Xenopus tropicalis: one gene and its partner. The protein of the gene in region 1 purifies or fractionates together with the protein of each later gene. This does not show direct contact. Links are inferred from orthologs where the notes say so. Each region holds a gene or a part of one and is shown on either strand. Other genes may lie near its edges.

The links. Proteins that work in one complex are often made in the same cells at the same time.
Region 2: the proteins of ift81 (region 1) and ift74 purify together in Homo sapiens (affinity purification with mass spectrometry; 3 studies listed by BioGRID and IntAct, counting the BioPlex papers as one, with this or other methods). This does not show direct contact. The link is inferred for Xenopus tropicalis from reciprocal best matches to the Homo sapiens genes IFT81 and IFT74.

Annotation. Positions count from the first base shown.
Region 1 is NC_030677.2:162,600,096-162,607,579, reverse strand, and holds part of ift81 (intraflagellar transport protein 81 homolog), read right to left. Parts: intron 6,490-7,484; coding exon 6,340-6,489; intron 4,127-6,339; coding exon 3,998-4,126; intron 2,948-3,997; coding exon 2,858-2,947; intron 872-2,857; coding exon 785-871; intron 1-784. UniProt on the Homo sapiens protein: Component of the intraflagellar transport (IFT) complex B: together with IFT74, forms a tubulin-binding module that specifically mediates transport of tubulin within the cilium. Binds tubulin via its CH (calponin-homology)-like region.
Region 2 is NC_030677.2:122,251,285-122,259,242, reverse strand, and holds the start of ift74 (intraflagellar transport protein 74 homolog), read right to left. Parts: upstream 4,912-7,958; 5' UTR 4,886-4,911; intron 4,503-4,885; exon of another isoform or gene 4,412-4,502; coding exon of another isoform or gene 4,409-4,411; intron 3,849-4,408; coding exon of another isoform or gene 3,837-3,848; coding exon 3,714-3,836; intron 3,168-3,713; coding exon 3,029-3,167; intron 2,790-3,028; coding exon 2,741-2,789; intron 901-2,740; coding exon 802-900; intron 1-801. Other genes in the region: plaa (phospholipase A-2-activating protein), read left to right, coding at 5,372-5,538. UniProt on the Homo sapiens protein: Component of the intraflagellar transport (IFT) complex B: together with IFT81, forms a tubulin-binding module that specifically mediates transport of tubulin within the cilium. Binds beta-tubulin via its basic region. Required for ciliogenesis.

The DNA.
Region 1 (7,484 bases):
AAAAGCATTCTCGTAAAATCGAAAACAAAAAACTACCACAGTGCACCTAAATAATAACAACTCAGTCAATGCCAGCATCAATATATTCAGCATCTAAACTGATAAACCAAATTCTTCTCAAGACACTGTAGATGATTGATGAAAATGGATTACATCTGAAATTCTCATCCCTACAGACTAAACAGAGCTACTCTAATTCATGTTCCTCATCTTTTTCTATTCTTATCTACTTCATATACAAACAGATCCCCCTTAACCCTATGGCTACTAAAACCCTTGTGTATATATATTCATCCTATCTATCTTGGCCATACCATCCCTCTATTGGCTGACCTTTATTTTTCCTAAGCATGAACAAACTCCTTTTACATCCTAATGCATTCCATGTCTGTTAAGCAGAAAACAGTTTGAACATGTTGATTAATTCCCCCCAGTATTGTAATCTATTGCACCCATTATCTATCTTTCCATTCACTGGGTTGACTGTAAGCAACTTGGCAAAAGGACATCTTGCTCCCTCTCTCTTGATTCCTAGCATTAAATTAATGTTTTTGCAATGTGTTAGCTCTTGCTTATATGAATTAACACAGAGCATTGTCTTTTGCTTTACAGTTCACATAAAGAAAATAAATGAAGGATAATGTCTACCAGTAAAGTATATTTTCCTATTCATCACAAAATAAGAGGCTGTACTATCACTTCAGAATTTTTGAAAATGATAAGGCTAACTTGAATGCTAAGAATTTGCCCCAGTGAAAAATGATTCATTTTGCCTAGTTTATACCTGCTCTGATTTTGATCGGTTACTCTCTAGGCCGGCAGCACAGCTGTCATATTGAGCTTTCTTGTCATCGTGTTCTTGAGTCAGTTCCTAATGAAAAACAAGCAGAGGTTTGTTTCAAACAGAAGGCTGGTTAAAAGAAATACAAATTTTTGCATTCTGCAGCTTTACTCCTTTAACCTAGACTGAAAATTTTGCTCTGAGAGGAGGTTTTGACCTGTGTACAGGCAGTGATTTTTACAAAATATTAATCCCCATTTGATTAAAGCATTTAACTGATTTTGTAATAAACAAGCCTATAGCATATTTGTATAACATATTTTTGCTCAAAATAGACTGCTCCAACTCCAAGTATATGATTCTAAAAGAGGAAGATTCAAAAGTACTCAACCAATGAGACTCGACCTATCAGATCCTTAGCCATACGTCACTGAACATAAATGATTCATTTATTCATGGTTTTCATGCTTTGTTTTGTTTTTGCTTGATTTTGACTACAAATGGTATTTTTAACACGGGTCAAACTTTTCTCGCAATAATAATTTTTTTTTAAAATAGTTCAAGATTTTTTAGTGCTTTTTCCCCACCTGTGAGATTGTTTTCAAATCAAATACCCTATTTGTCCTATTTGCGTAAGCATTTTTTAATATAGTTTTATTTACAAGAATTTTTTTTACAGCAGAATTGTTGAAAGTATAAAATATGGCCCCAGTAGAGCCAAGTAAAAAAAAAAATCTGGACTTCTGAACTGTTTTCACATGAGAAAAAACTGTCACCTATAATAGTAAAAGTCCAAAAATAAAAAAGAAGGTTTTACTACATCTTGTCTACTTTCACTCAAGGCCACAGCCATCAAATTCAATTTAATAAAAAAAAAACTGAAAATAAAATGGCTGCAATCACATTTCTGCGGCTACTACACTGCGGCTGTGCAAAAGCATCTCCCCTACATCAGAATCGTGTAGAGCAGGGCTGTCCAACTGGCGTCCCTCCTCTGTGTGGCCCCCCACCTGTCTGGCTGCTTTGATGGCTTACCTTTGAGTAAGCTTTAAATGGTATCAGTACTGAGATTAACTGGCTCCCTGCATGGTTCTCACCTCAGATTCAGGCTGTAATCCACCTGTATTGTTTAAAAATGTAATCCCCTGTACTATTCACACCTTTTAGTTTCTGCATTGTTTACCCCCTGCAGTGTTCACACCTCAGACTCAGGCTGTAATCAACCACATTGTTCACCTGTTCACACCTCAGACATTGTAGGTACTGCCTGGTCTATGCTGCCTGTCTGCCAGCGAGCACGTTACATGTCACATCTTCAGATGAATAGAGTCGGCAGGACGGCCAGCGAAAGCGTTACATGTCACATCTTCAGATGAATAGAGTCGGCAGGACTAGCAGGCTGCAGGGTACTTTTACCCCCCCCGTGGACGGACGTATGTCTGTGTCGCACGCGCATGCACTCACCTCCAGCCACGGGGGCGGGGGGGTTGGGTGCGAGCGCCTTATATCTTCAGATCAAGATCGGCAGGACGGACATAAGTGGAGGGAGGTATACTCGAGTATAAGCCGAGGGTTACTTTTTGAGCACATTTTTAGTGCTGAAAAAATCGGCTTGTACTCGAGTATATACGGTATGCTGTTCAGTTCTGGTCTCCAGTGCTAAAACGGGACATGATTGAGTTATTGAGGGTCCAGAGAAGGGCAACTAAGTTGGTAAAGGGTATGGAAAGTCTCAGTTATGAAGAAAGACTGGCCAAGTTGGGTCTGTTTACACTGGAGAAAAGGCGCTTAAGCGGTGACATGATAACTATGTATAAATATATAAGGGGATCATATAAAAACTAGAAGTTAGACAGGTTATATATAGGCATTATGGTTGAACGTGATGGACGTACGTCAACCTAACTTACTATGTAATTATAAAATTAGAATTGTTTGCTTATAATGCAGTCTATGGGAGATGGTCTTTCCGTAATTCGGAACTTTCTGGATAATGGATCCCATACCTGTATACATTCTGAGAACAAACATGTAACTATATACTTATTAGAGGGTATTTACAGTCTTTTCACAGACCTGGCATCTCTGACGTAATGGTCTCAACTCTTTAATAACTGGAGCCAGTCCTGACTTTTTCTCTGCTATCCTGGAATTCAATTTCTTTACCTGTCAGAAAACAAATAAATAGGAAACTTAAAGCAGTTATTACTGAAACAAGGTCTCCTCGATCTATGCTTGTCTTGCTGTAGTCAGATCATTTTTACTGTGTCTTCGTCTGCTGACTATATAGCTGAAGGGTTCTCAGTTGTAAATTGTAATTTTTGTATTATACCATTGTATATGTCCAATTTTATATTAACTGCAGAAAGTCTAATCATTTACCTATTGCTTTATATTCGCCTAGCATCTATAAAAGATTTACTGAGGCTGCTTGCAGTTTTGGTTTTCAGACCATCAGCTCAAGTCACATGCCACGTTACCATTATATTACTATATTTTCTTTACAATGACCAAGTGAGGTGTATAGTCCAGCAGGGGGCTAGTTGCAGCCTGAAATGCTTGGAAATGGAATAATAATAATAATGAAGGGGTTGTTGAGCTTTAAATTAACTTTGTAGACAGAGATATTCTGAGACAATTTGCAAATGATTTTCATTTTTTACTATTTGCAGTAATTTAATTATTTAGATTTTTGTTCAGCAGCTCTCCAGTTTGGAACTTCAGCAGGCTTTTTGGTTGCTAGGGTCCAATTTAAACTAGCAACCAGGCAATCATTTGAAAGAGAGACAAGAATATCAATAAAGGAGGGCCTAAATAAAAAAAGTAAGTAATAAAGAGTAACAACAACAATAAAATTGTAGCCTCACAGAGGAAAAGAGTTTTAGCTGCTGGGATCAGTGACCCCTATTTGAAAGCTGGAAAGAATGAGAAGAGGAAGGCAAATAATTCAAAAACTAATAAATGAAAACCAATTGGAAAGTCTCTAAGAATAGGCCATTCTATAACATACTAAAAGTTAACCTGAAAGTGAACCACCCCTTTAACACAACTGGTAAATACAGAGATGCCACGTTTCTAAAAACATGTTAGTTTCCTGTAATGTTATCTCTTTGTGTGTATGAAGCATAACATTCGATTCTATGGTGCAGTTATTAGCCATAAAACACATGTGTAAGTAGGAAATATAACACATATATTCATGTATTGCAAAATCACCATATCAGAAATGTCATCCAGAGTCCTTCCTTTCATTTCATCCACTTCACTCTTCAACGCTGACACCCTCTCCAATTCCTCCTGCGTGTCACTGTACCCAAGAATACCTTTTTTCTGTTCAATTGCTTGCTGCAAGAAACAAAATACATTCAGAAATCCAGTTTTTGTTAAGTAAATTACATTGAATTTGATTTTTTTCCACCTAAAAGAGAAATGAAACAAATCCCTAATTTCCAAAGAGATGAAATGGATGGAAGGACAGATCATAGTATTCAATCTAACAGTGTAGTTTGGTGTTAAAGGTTTGCTAGATTTGGGTAGTAAAACTAATTTAAAATGGTAAACACAAAAGCTGTAAGTTATTAAACTGTAGAATTTCTGCTTATTTTGTTTGGCTTTACCAAGCAATAACTTCTGACTAATAGTGATGGCCAGGTGTGGATTTGCGAGATTTTTTTTTGCCATCTAAGAATGACCCGCACAACATTTTTGCCATTTCACAAATTTTTCACCATTTTGCGAATCTTTTGAAATATTTGCGAATTATTCAGCGACGAGGGACAAATCCGCTCATCACTTCTGACTGTCTTGCAAACTTCATTTGGAGCAACATCATTAAGAATTGTCACCTTAAAGGAACAGTAACATCAAAAAATTAAAGTGTTTTAAAGTAATTAAAATATAATGTGCTGTTGCTCTGCAAAAAAATTGTGTTTTTGCTACAGAAAAGCTACTGTATATATAAGCTGCTGTTTAGCCATGGGGGCAGCCATTTAAGCTGGAAAAAAGGAGAAAAGGCACAGGTTACATAGCAGATAACTAGTAGATAAGCCCCATATAATGGGGGTTTATCTGTTATTTGCTAAGTAACCTGTGCCTTTTCCCCTTTGAATGGCTGCCCCCATGGCTACACCAGCTTACTTATATAAACTATAGTAGTCTTTCTAAGGCAAACACACCAGTTGTAGCAATACAGGGCAACAGTACATTATATTGTAATTACTTTTATACACTTTCATTTTTTGGTGTTACTGTTCCTTTAATAATAAACCATCTTTTTCTATACAAAAATAAAAAAACTGCAGTCTCAAGAAAATAGCCACAGCCCTTTTCAAAGTTTCTAATCTCAAGAAATATTAAAGGATGTTCCATTTATGGGATTTCTAAACCTAGCACAGTTACTATTCATATTTGCCTGCAGCTCAGACTGGTTGGCAGCTACTGCTGCTCTGTCTTATAGCCAAGAGTTACATTGCAGGTATTCAAATATATATTGCACTGCAGAATTAAAAGTGGGAGTTCCTCTGGGAGTCTGATATGGGATCAGTTATCTGAAAACCTGTTATCCAGACAGTTCTGAATTAAGAGAAGGCCATCTCCCATTTCCTTTTTCTCTGTAATAATGAAATAGTACCTTCTACTTGATTCCAACTAAGATATTAATCCTTACTGGAGGCAGAACACTTCTACTGGGGTTATTTAATGTTTAAATTCTTTTTTAATAGACTTACAGTATGGAGATCCAAATTACAGAAAGACCCCTTATCCAGGAAACCCCAGGTCCTGAGCATTCTGGATAATTGGTCCTATACCTGTAGTTGGAACCCTGTGCATGCTTTTCTAAAGTCACCCAACTGAAGTGCTTTGTTAACCTCACTTTATTTTATTTTTATATTTTGAGGATCAGGATATAGAAAAATAATTTGGTAACAGCTGTAAACTATGCACCAAATAACCGAAAAATAACCTAAATACATAGTGTAGAGGGGCATAAAATTGCAGGTTGTTTTACAGCACTTAATATGATTGGGAATTTCATGTAGTACAGTGCGGTATTCTAAGAGGTGTTTGGCTTCTTTTCAACTTTTGAGTGCCGTACTTTGTCTTATCCGCTCCAAAAGCTACTGCACAACCAATTTCTATGTAAAACACTTTGGCTTTTTATCACACTGCAAAGAGCCCATTTCACTATTAATCCCATCTCTCTAAAATAACACAATTTCATGGCTACAATAAAGCCAAGTGGTGCCTTGCTGCCATAGAAAGAAGTAACATGAAAACTCCATCTGTATTTTCCTCACTGACTTAATGTAATGAACATAATATGTAATCCCAAAGACTAACTACCATTACTAGTAAGTGAAAGTTCTTCAGCATTTTAATTATATATATGTATATATATATATATATATATATATAATAAAGCCTGACATTTCATTTTTCCTTTTTTATGGATCTGCTTTCATGTACAGAAATTCAGTAGCTTCCCCAGAGAGACACATCTGCACTCCATTCCTTGAGAGTAAACAGATGATTATTTAAGGCACAGAGTTTGTCATTACCAGCTGTTGCTGTATATTCTCATGTCGTTGTTTCAAGATCTCCTCTGTCCTCTGCAAGACGCCATTCTCAGCACTAAGTTCTGCCAGCTCCTGTCGTTTTTTCTTATAGACTGAGCTTTTGAATCTCAATTTGCTGACATAATGTTTAAACTGAAAGAACAGGAAAAAAACAGCTTTAAGTGGGACATGCTAATTTCTACTCAGTGCAAACCAAGCCGACATTTATTATGGTTGTTTTGAAACGGTACTTACATTCGGTAACAATATTCTATGCCAACATAAACAAGACAGATCATTTTCTGTACCTAGCATGACCAAGAATTTCATATATTCTTAATATTCTTAATATAGTAGCCAACTGCATACCCATATTTAGACAGGTCTAGATGTAAGCTATGTAGGCCTTTACATACTTATTTTTGGAAGTCTTTTTTAGGATGAGCAAATATTCCAGTAACTCATACAACAAAATGCACTGGAACAAAACAGGTCAGAATGTCTTTATACGGTTGTATTGTGCAGCTTGGTGACCCAATAGCACTGCTAATCGGTAACCCATTGGATGTTGTAGTGCTCCCTAAGTTCCTAAAGTAAGCATTTGAGGTCCATCCAGGAAAAGGTACAAGCAGGTTCCTGTAAACATGTATTTACTGATGGGTGCATTTATGTGCCACGTGCCGAAATACAAAAAGTAGATTAGCAAATTAAGTAAATGTGTTGCACCTCCTAAAATATGAGTTGTTCCCTGGGTATATTTCTGCCGGTAGAAAACTCCCTGTCACCAATCCTGCTGTGTTGAATCTTTGTCACAGAATTATATTACATATAAGGGATCCCTTATCTAGAACCCCATTAGCCAGAAAGTTTTAATTTATGTGAAAGTTATGTCCCATAGTGCCCATTTGAAACAAAAACTTCTAATTTTTAAAAATGATTTCCTTTTCTCTGTAATAATAACACAGTACCTTATACTTGATAGTAACAAAGCTGCATGAATCCATATTTGGGGCCATTACCATCCTATTGGGTTTATTTAATGTTAAAATGATTTTGAGCAGACTAAGTATGTTGATCAAAATTATGGAAAGACCCCTGATCTGGAAAACCAACAGGTCCCACACATTCTGAATAATAGATCCACTACC
Region 2 (7,958 bases), about 40 Mb from region 1:
TAAAGTTACTCAATTTATACAGAGAATACATCTTTTTCATTAAATGAAAACTTGTATTGGGGATAGGAGCAGCACTCTGCATACTGTAAAAATATTGCAAAGTGAAGGAAGGTTTATGACCCTTTCTGCAACTGTACCACAAATGTTAATATCATTGTCTCCTTCCTAGAAGGTAAGAATATAATTTTATATATCTTAATTAATAGGGGCAAGGTCTGCTGGTGTTGTAGATATCTGCAGATAAAGTGGCCTGGGTGTCCTGTTTAAGTGGGAATACAAGATGCTTACCCCAGTTACTTAACCTTGAGTCCCTAAAATTCTGGGTCACTATATCTAAAACAGCTCTAAGGTATTCCAAATAAAGAAGAAAATCATCTATGTAGACGGACATCCTCTCTTCTGTTGTATGAACTTTCAATCCCTGTACCCTCTGTAACTGGTGAATTGGAGCTTCACCGAGGTTGTGATTTCCCTAACTGGTGGCCCGGTACAGATTGAAAGGGGAAGCGGGATGGAAATCAACTCGGATTCATTTGTGGGTGGTTGTAGCGATGCTGAAAGGCCAATACTCTCAGTGACATGTTCATGTAAATGGGATTTTTTAAGAGCCTTGTGGAATTAGTTCCCAGAATCCCATTTGTCTATTTACATACGTTTGAGGCAGTTTTCTCAACCCTTTTGATTTGTTTGACAATATTTAACAAATTATACTTTAAATGTGTTTGCAGTTCAACTGAAGCACTGATGACTGCTTTAAAAGCCATATTTCATTTTTACAGTAAAAAAAAGTAGGCAACTTGCCTTTTCTCATAAGACAGGTAGACAGAGTTCTCCTGGTTATAGGTGTCAATCTCTTTTTTCAGTTTGGTCATTTCTGTGGTAAGCTCGCTGACTTTACTCCTGTTAATAAAAGACATCATATTTTGATACATCAGCATGAAATTCACACATGAAATATAATACCATCTTGAACATCAGAATATATTGATACATGTTATGATATTTTTTAGTTGGAGAAACTATTTTATAATATACATATTTTCAGTTATTAACATGTTTATTATTCAGGGTACCTGTATTTTATATCAATCTTTTTTGCTTTGAGCAGCTGAATCCAAATTTTTTTAATGGGATGCTATAGTTGAGGGGCAGTGCTAGATTACTACTTAATTGATTTGTCAATTCTTTGTTAATTAGTATTAATGTCATGCAAGTCTAAGGGGGAAATTTGTAAAAATCCTTTTCATTTTACTACATATGAATGGTAACAGGTAAAGATATGTCAATATGAAAGTATTAGTAATTTGTTTTTCAGGAATAACCACTGATTCTCAGTATGTGCACATCTACCAGTCAGACCCTAATTTTTTAGGCAATTATAAATAATATATGGTGCTAGTTTCACTTTGTGCTAAAAATGAATCCTATCTGTAAAAATGGCCCCTTTATTGGAGCTCCCTATAGAGCCTATCAGTTCTCTGTCCGTGTTTGAAATAAAGGGTGGGCGTGTTCTAACGGTCCCAGCCATAAGCACTGTAGGAGGTGTGGTAGAGTGACCCAACAAATGAGAGAAAAGGTGAGCTTTCCCTTCAAGTTCTCCATAGTGGGAGATGTAACCTTTAGGAGAGAGGTTGATAAACAGAGAAGGTTTGCTCTGTTTAAAAGGTTGTGCTGTCTGGCCCTGGAAGCTATAGGGTTCAGGAAGGAACAAGCGGATCAAGCGATCCATTCCAGTAGTCCAGCTCACCTATTGGAGCATACTTTCCACAGGAAGGCTGTCCTGTGGAAAAGGTATTTAATGGTATAGAAAGGTGTGAGACAGTCTCTCAGAGCAGGGCACAGAGCAGGAAGGATACCTCTCTGTGTTAGGACTCCCAGAGGGGCTGGGGGTGCTGCCTGCCACTGCCAGAAGCAGAGGGAGCCCAGACTTGAGAAAGCTGCCAAGAGACTGAGGGTCTAAGGAGCTGAAAGGAAAGCCAGGAGGCTGAGCTAATCCCCCAGAAGTGTTGTGAGTACAGGGGTGACCCCAACATTTGTGGTTTCTTACTGGTAGTCCAAAAGGGACCCAGGTTAGTGAGGGAACTAATGTAATGTGTGAAGGTAGTGCCCAGAGCGCAGGATTTATTTTTATGATTTGTTTTGTATGCTGAAATGGGCACCCCTGTGTAAATAAACTGCCTTAAAGCCGAGAAAGTGTCTGTCCTGGATCCCGCTAGTTTACAGAGGGGAAGAGCCACTCACAGCCTTGCACAATCCTTCTATATCTAGAGAAGTATAATTCACTGGTACATTCATAATTTTTATAGGATATGTCTCCTTAAACTAAATGCATGTGGTGAAGTAAGAATGAGGGACACTACACCAGCAAGAGTTGGACAAGTAAAGAAGCACAGCATAAAACACACTGGACAAGTCAAGATTTCATATGTAGGAGCATCCTAAATCCAGTGGGATCCTAAGCTGTGCACCTATGCATCATTGCACAAATTACAAGTTGTAGTTATGCATAGATCCGCTACAAAAATAGTGTGTTCAAGTGGGCTTCTTGTTCCTTTTACATGCTGACCTATGCTACCTTCTCCTGGAACCTGTTGGAAATGCAAACATAGCACTGCAATCGTTCAGATACAATTGTTATGGATGCAAATTTTTTTTTGAGGCAAATGGAAAAATCAGGACTTTCACCTAAAAATATTTAAATGTTTAAAAACTAAAGCAATTTTTTTCTTAGTCAATTTACCTTAGGAGTCCCAGAAAGTAAGACTTGTCCATAATCTGTCTCTGGGGACCTGAGAAACAAAATTAAGCTTTAAATTAAATAGAAAACTTGCATACTTGCAACAGGCATACAATTTCATATAGGCATTATTTTTCCTATTGCCTGCAAGCACCAGTGTATTTTTTGGAGATGTTTATTGTTTGAAAAATTGTGATTGTAAAAAAAAAAAAAAATCAATACATCTGCATACACGAAAATGAATTCACCTGCACCTTAGTAATTGTTCACTTTTTGTGAACAGGCACCTACCTTTCATTGCAGTTTTCATTCCACTCAGACCCTGCTGGGTGACTGGTCTGTCTGCTACTTTTATCTGTGCTGACAGAACTCCTCCAGTGCCCATGGGAACAACACCTCTAGTTCCAGGTCGTGCACTGCCAGGTATCATCTTCAAAAAAAAAATCTGATTTCTGAACCTTGAATGTATATAGCTTTAGCATTTAAACTGCAGTACTGTTCTTACTTTTCTGCAATAAAATAATAATCAGATTTTGATTGACAGATAATTAAAAGACAGCTAGCTCTAATACATTGCAGGCAAATGGAACACAATCAAGATGAAGTATTAAAGCTGTCAATCAAAATCTGACTTTAATTTCTACTTGAATAAAGACATATTGCTAAGGGGAATACTGGAGAGCAACTTAATTATTTCCATGAGATGAAGCTGATATTAAATTTTGATTTTTATAATAGGTCCTCTTTAAGAAAGCTAGCATTAATGTTTAAAGGTTTTTTAGTAGCTTAAGGCATGGACATCCACATTACAGAAAAATGGAAAAAACAAGGTCCCAAGATAATAAAAACCTGTTGTACAAATGTATGTATACAACAACAATTATGGCATATACAGTGGTTAACCTTTAAAAGCAAATTTACATTTTTTTTTCCCTTTTAACATTCAATTATATAAACAGATTTTTAAATTACTTACAGCTGTTGTCAGCCTGCTTGCAGTAGGAGGTGGTCGCATTCCACTTGGTGGTCTGTTTTGTAAGGGACCAATGCCTCCTCTTGTGCTAGGTCGAGCTGATGGTGGTCTTTGATTGTTAGCCATGTTTATTGTTGACTGTGAAGATTAAATAAAATTAAGCAAAGGATTTTAAGGGCAAGTACAGTGATTGCAGCTCAGCTTGTACTGAGGTAAGTTTAAACAAATACTTCATAGCAACTGTAGACAAATAAAAAAAAAAATGTATAAAGGTAATACAATATCACCATTGTGGTTACCATAGATAAAAATGTCAGGGTGGGTGCCAGTGCTGTAGAAACCTACATCCTCAAATCATACAAAGTTCAACACAAGCACAGCATTTCCTTTGTGCTTTCCATTATTACTTTTATTGTCATATTCACGTCAGGTTAGACAACTCTCATACTAGCTAATATATAAATAAGTACTCTTCTTCCCTATGCCCTGACATAAATCCTGTACTAAAAAGGTGTTTAAGATTTTTAAATTTGTGAATGCGACTGGACAAAAATATACTTTGCAACTTGTAACTTCGTTGCAAGTTTGCCACTTTGTAAAGCATGCCTCCACGACAAATCTAAAATATCTATAGTAAAATCAGGAATCCTGCCAGATTATTTCTAGACTAGATGCAATGGAAGTTAGTGTATACTAACCATTCCACAAAGAAAACTAACAACTTTATGCTACACAATACGACTCATATTAATAAATAAATAGGTGGAAGGTTTGCTACAGGTCTAGTCACCTGAAGTGACCAGTTAGCAGGTACTATTTACTGCTCATCTTTATGGTTGCTATGGGTTACTGCAAACTTTGTGCCTTTTATTACACTCCCCCTTAACTTTTCTTTTGGATGGTTCTACTTCTCAATCCTGTTTCAGGTATTGTGAGCTGCATTTCAGTATCACCCGGACAAACAGTGAACACAGATCCCTACAATTGCTACTGCCTACACAAAATTAAATACGACTGGCTTTATTTGCTGTACAGAACAGAATATTTTCTCAAAATTGTTTCCAAACTGTTTAAAGAAAATTATAATCTTTAAACGCGTTAGTCCTAATAACCCCACACGTTAATTACAGGTAAATAAAGCAACACAATTATTTAAACACTATAAATATACATACAGCATAAATCGCTTTCCCAGCTTCTGCCTGAACCTCGGTTGCTTAGCAACTCAATCACGTGATTTACGCTATCCGGCGAACAACGTTCTACGAATGGGAAAAGTATCGTGAGAGAATGAATCAGGCGTGTCCGTAATGACGTAATCAAGAAGGGCTGTGGTTCCTCACAGCTTGTTGGCTGGCAAGCATGATGTATATATACTGATGGTGCAGGTGCTTCTGTACATAGGTAGCCTGCGTGTCGGCTTACCTTAATCGCTCCCATAAATATATCTTAGATCATAGTTCGAGACAAGGATTAGTATGCGTTTGTAAACACGACTATGTGTAAAGAATGACCAGTCCCGATACCATTATGTGTTTTAACTGACTGCTGGCTACCTGAGGTCTTGGGGAGGGCGCAATGCCGTCACTTCCTCCGGTGCCCAGTATTCAGAGTCCCGTCTCATCACTTCCGGCTGTGCTGGTGCAGCAGGCTGCTGTGTCATGTCTCAGGCAGGAAGAGATGGCGGTGACAACTGTTACCGGCTGCGCTGCTCCCTCCTGGGGCACGAATTGGATGTGCGGGGAGTGGCGCGCTGCCCCCTTTGGCCGGGCGAGGGGTTCGTGTCCGTGTCACGTGACAGGAGCGCACGCCTCTGGGTACCAGACAGGTGAGAGAGCGTCTCAATCAAACTATTACCTAGTTGTGGGGGTGGGGGTTAATATGCCGGATTATAGTAATACTGTATATTCTCAGCATCTACTGACTCATTGTTCGCCCCGTGTTTTCAGAACATCATCAGATGAATTTCAAGCCAAAATTATGCAGCCATAAGATTACATCTCAGCTTGTATAAATAACGCAGCAAGGACGTCCCAGAGATACTGACTGACCTAGACTAGACTCAGGGATGTTCTTATGCTACACCTCCTTTTTGATCACCAGTGTAATGGGACCAATAAAGCGTTCTATTGTCAGGTACCCTAGGTACCTAGGATTGACCTCAGCCAGGGTGACCCTTCACCAATATTTCTCATTGCTTATCCTTTACTTTCTATATCATTTCTTCTCTGCTTTCATCATTTTAATTGCCTTTTAAAATATATTTTGCCTATTATTTTTCATGTGTGCTTCTCCGTATCAGTATTATTCTCTATTCCCTTTATTCTTTCTTTTATTCTCATTATGTTCTGTCAGGGAAGATAAACAGTAACCTCCTAAGATATTATTTAGTTAGCATTGCCTTCCAAATTGTTTTTGTCACAACCAAAGCAAAACTAAACCATGCAACATGGTTAGCATAGGTATTGGTATCTATCTCTTCAACCTGCACTAATATCTTATTAATATGATGGGAATATTTTAAAAACAACATTTTCCGGATCTGGCATTGGGGCCAATGGGGTTAAATTCTTGTGTACATTGTATTGGGGCCAATGGGTTTAAATTCTTGTGTACATTGTAGTATGTGGTATTAACCCGTAAAAGAAAGGGGTAGTATTAACCCATTAAGGAAAACTAAATGCTTATGAAACATAGTAAGTAGAAAGTAAGTTATATTTCATAAAAATTGTCTTTTTAATGTAACCATGTCACTGCCAGATTACTGACATTGTGCTGTGCAAGGTGACCACTGATTCGAAAATAAAAAATAATAGTGTATACTGCACTAGATACTATGTAACAAATACATAGTGTTCTGAAAAAGAAATTAAAAAAGTTAACTGACGGTACTTCAACGGCAACAGGGAAGATTATTTAGTTCACTACATGGCTTTATACAAACTAGTGCATATGCAGTAAAGCCAGTAAATAAAAGCAAGGCAATCACAGCATGTGCAGTGCCATCCTATAATAATCATTTGTAGCTCAAACCTTTTTTTTGGATTTTCTTTTTGAACTCTGACACAGTTAACTAGTAAGAACAACAGGACCAAATTTAGTGCAGTTAGCTAAACCTGACAAAGCAAATGGAATCATAAGAAAGGGTCAATAGTTCCCATTTAATAGGTATGACCTTTAGAGCAGTGAGCGTGAAAAACAAGCATCTGGTGGGTATATGTCAATGTGTATGCTTACATATATTAAAACTCAGCATCAATGTTGTTGAAGGCATACTTTGGTTTTTATGCACTAATCATAAACTGTATACAGGTGTGTGTGTGTGTGTGTATATATATATATATATATATATATATATATATATATATATATATATATATATATACTTGCTATACTTTGGCGCTACAGGAGTCCTGAGCCCCTGCTTACTATGGGGGTAACAGGGAGTCTTCACTCTTATTGGCGTGCCTCCACCCAGGGGTAATGCTGTGGGACTATAACTCCCACCCTGGGAACTTGATATTACACTGCAACCTTTCTCAGGGACTCCACACAACTCCCGGCACCTTGCCCCTCCCATGGGGTAGTTGCTTACCGGCAAGTAGGTGATCCCTGGTGCAGGAAAGAGCCAGATACACAAGATGTGATGAACCAGATGAGTGTTTTTATTTGGGTAGAACCTCTCCAGGAGTGGCATACATTCGTCAGGGCATATACTCCTTAGCTTCACCTTAAGAGAACCTCTCTCCTGTTGTCCAAGTGATCCCATTTAGGTGCTCCCCCGGGACTCTCGCAGAGAGACCTTCTCTTAGGGCTCTCCCCGGTACTCTCGCCAGGCTGACCCACCTCCAGGACTCACCCCGGTACTCACGCCTAGGTACCCTCAGATTAGGAATCTGCCTCTAGTGGTGGCTTGATCCACCTACCTAGACACTTTGGGCCCTGCTCTCCAGCAGATGTATTGCTGGGGGTCTTAACCCCACCACCACTCCTGGAGGGGCAATATCCACCCATTCTAACTTACTGACCTACATGTCACTCCTGGAGCGACCTATCACAGAACTAACTATCTACTTACTGATCCTGTTAGACTCCTCTACCCAGAGGCAGTCCCAGGACTAAGACCCGACAGCACATGGCTGCATCCCCTTTTATAACCTTACACACCACCCTGTGGCTGTAACCCGAACTGCAGGGATACTCCCTGTTAAGTACTGACATCCCAGACCATACCAAGTGTCCAATTAA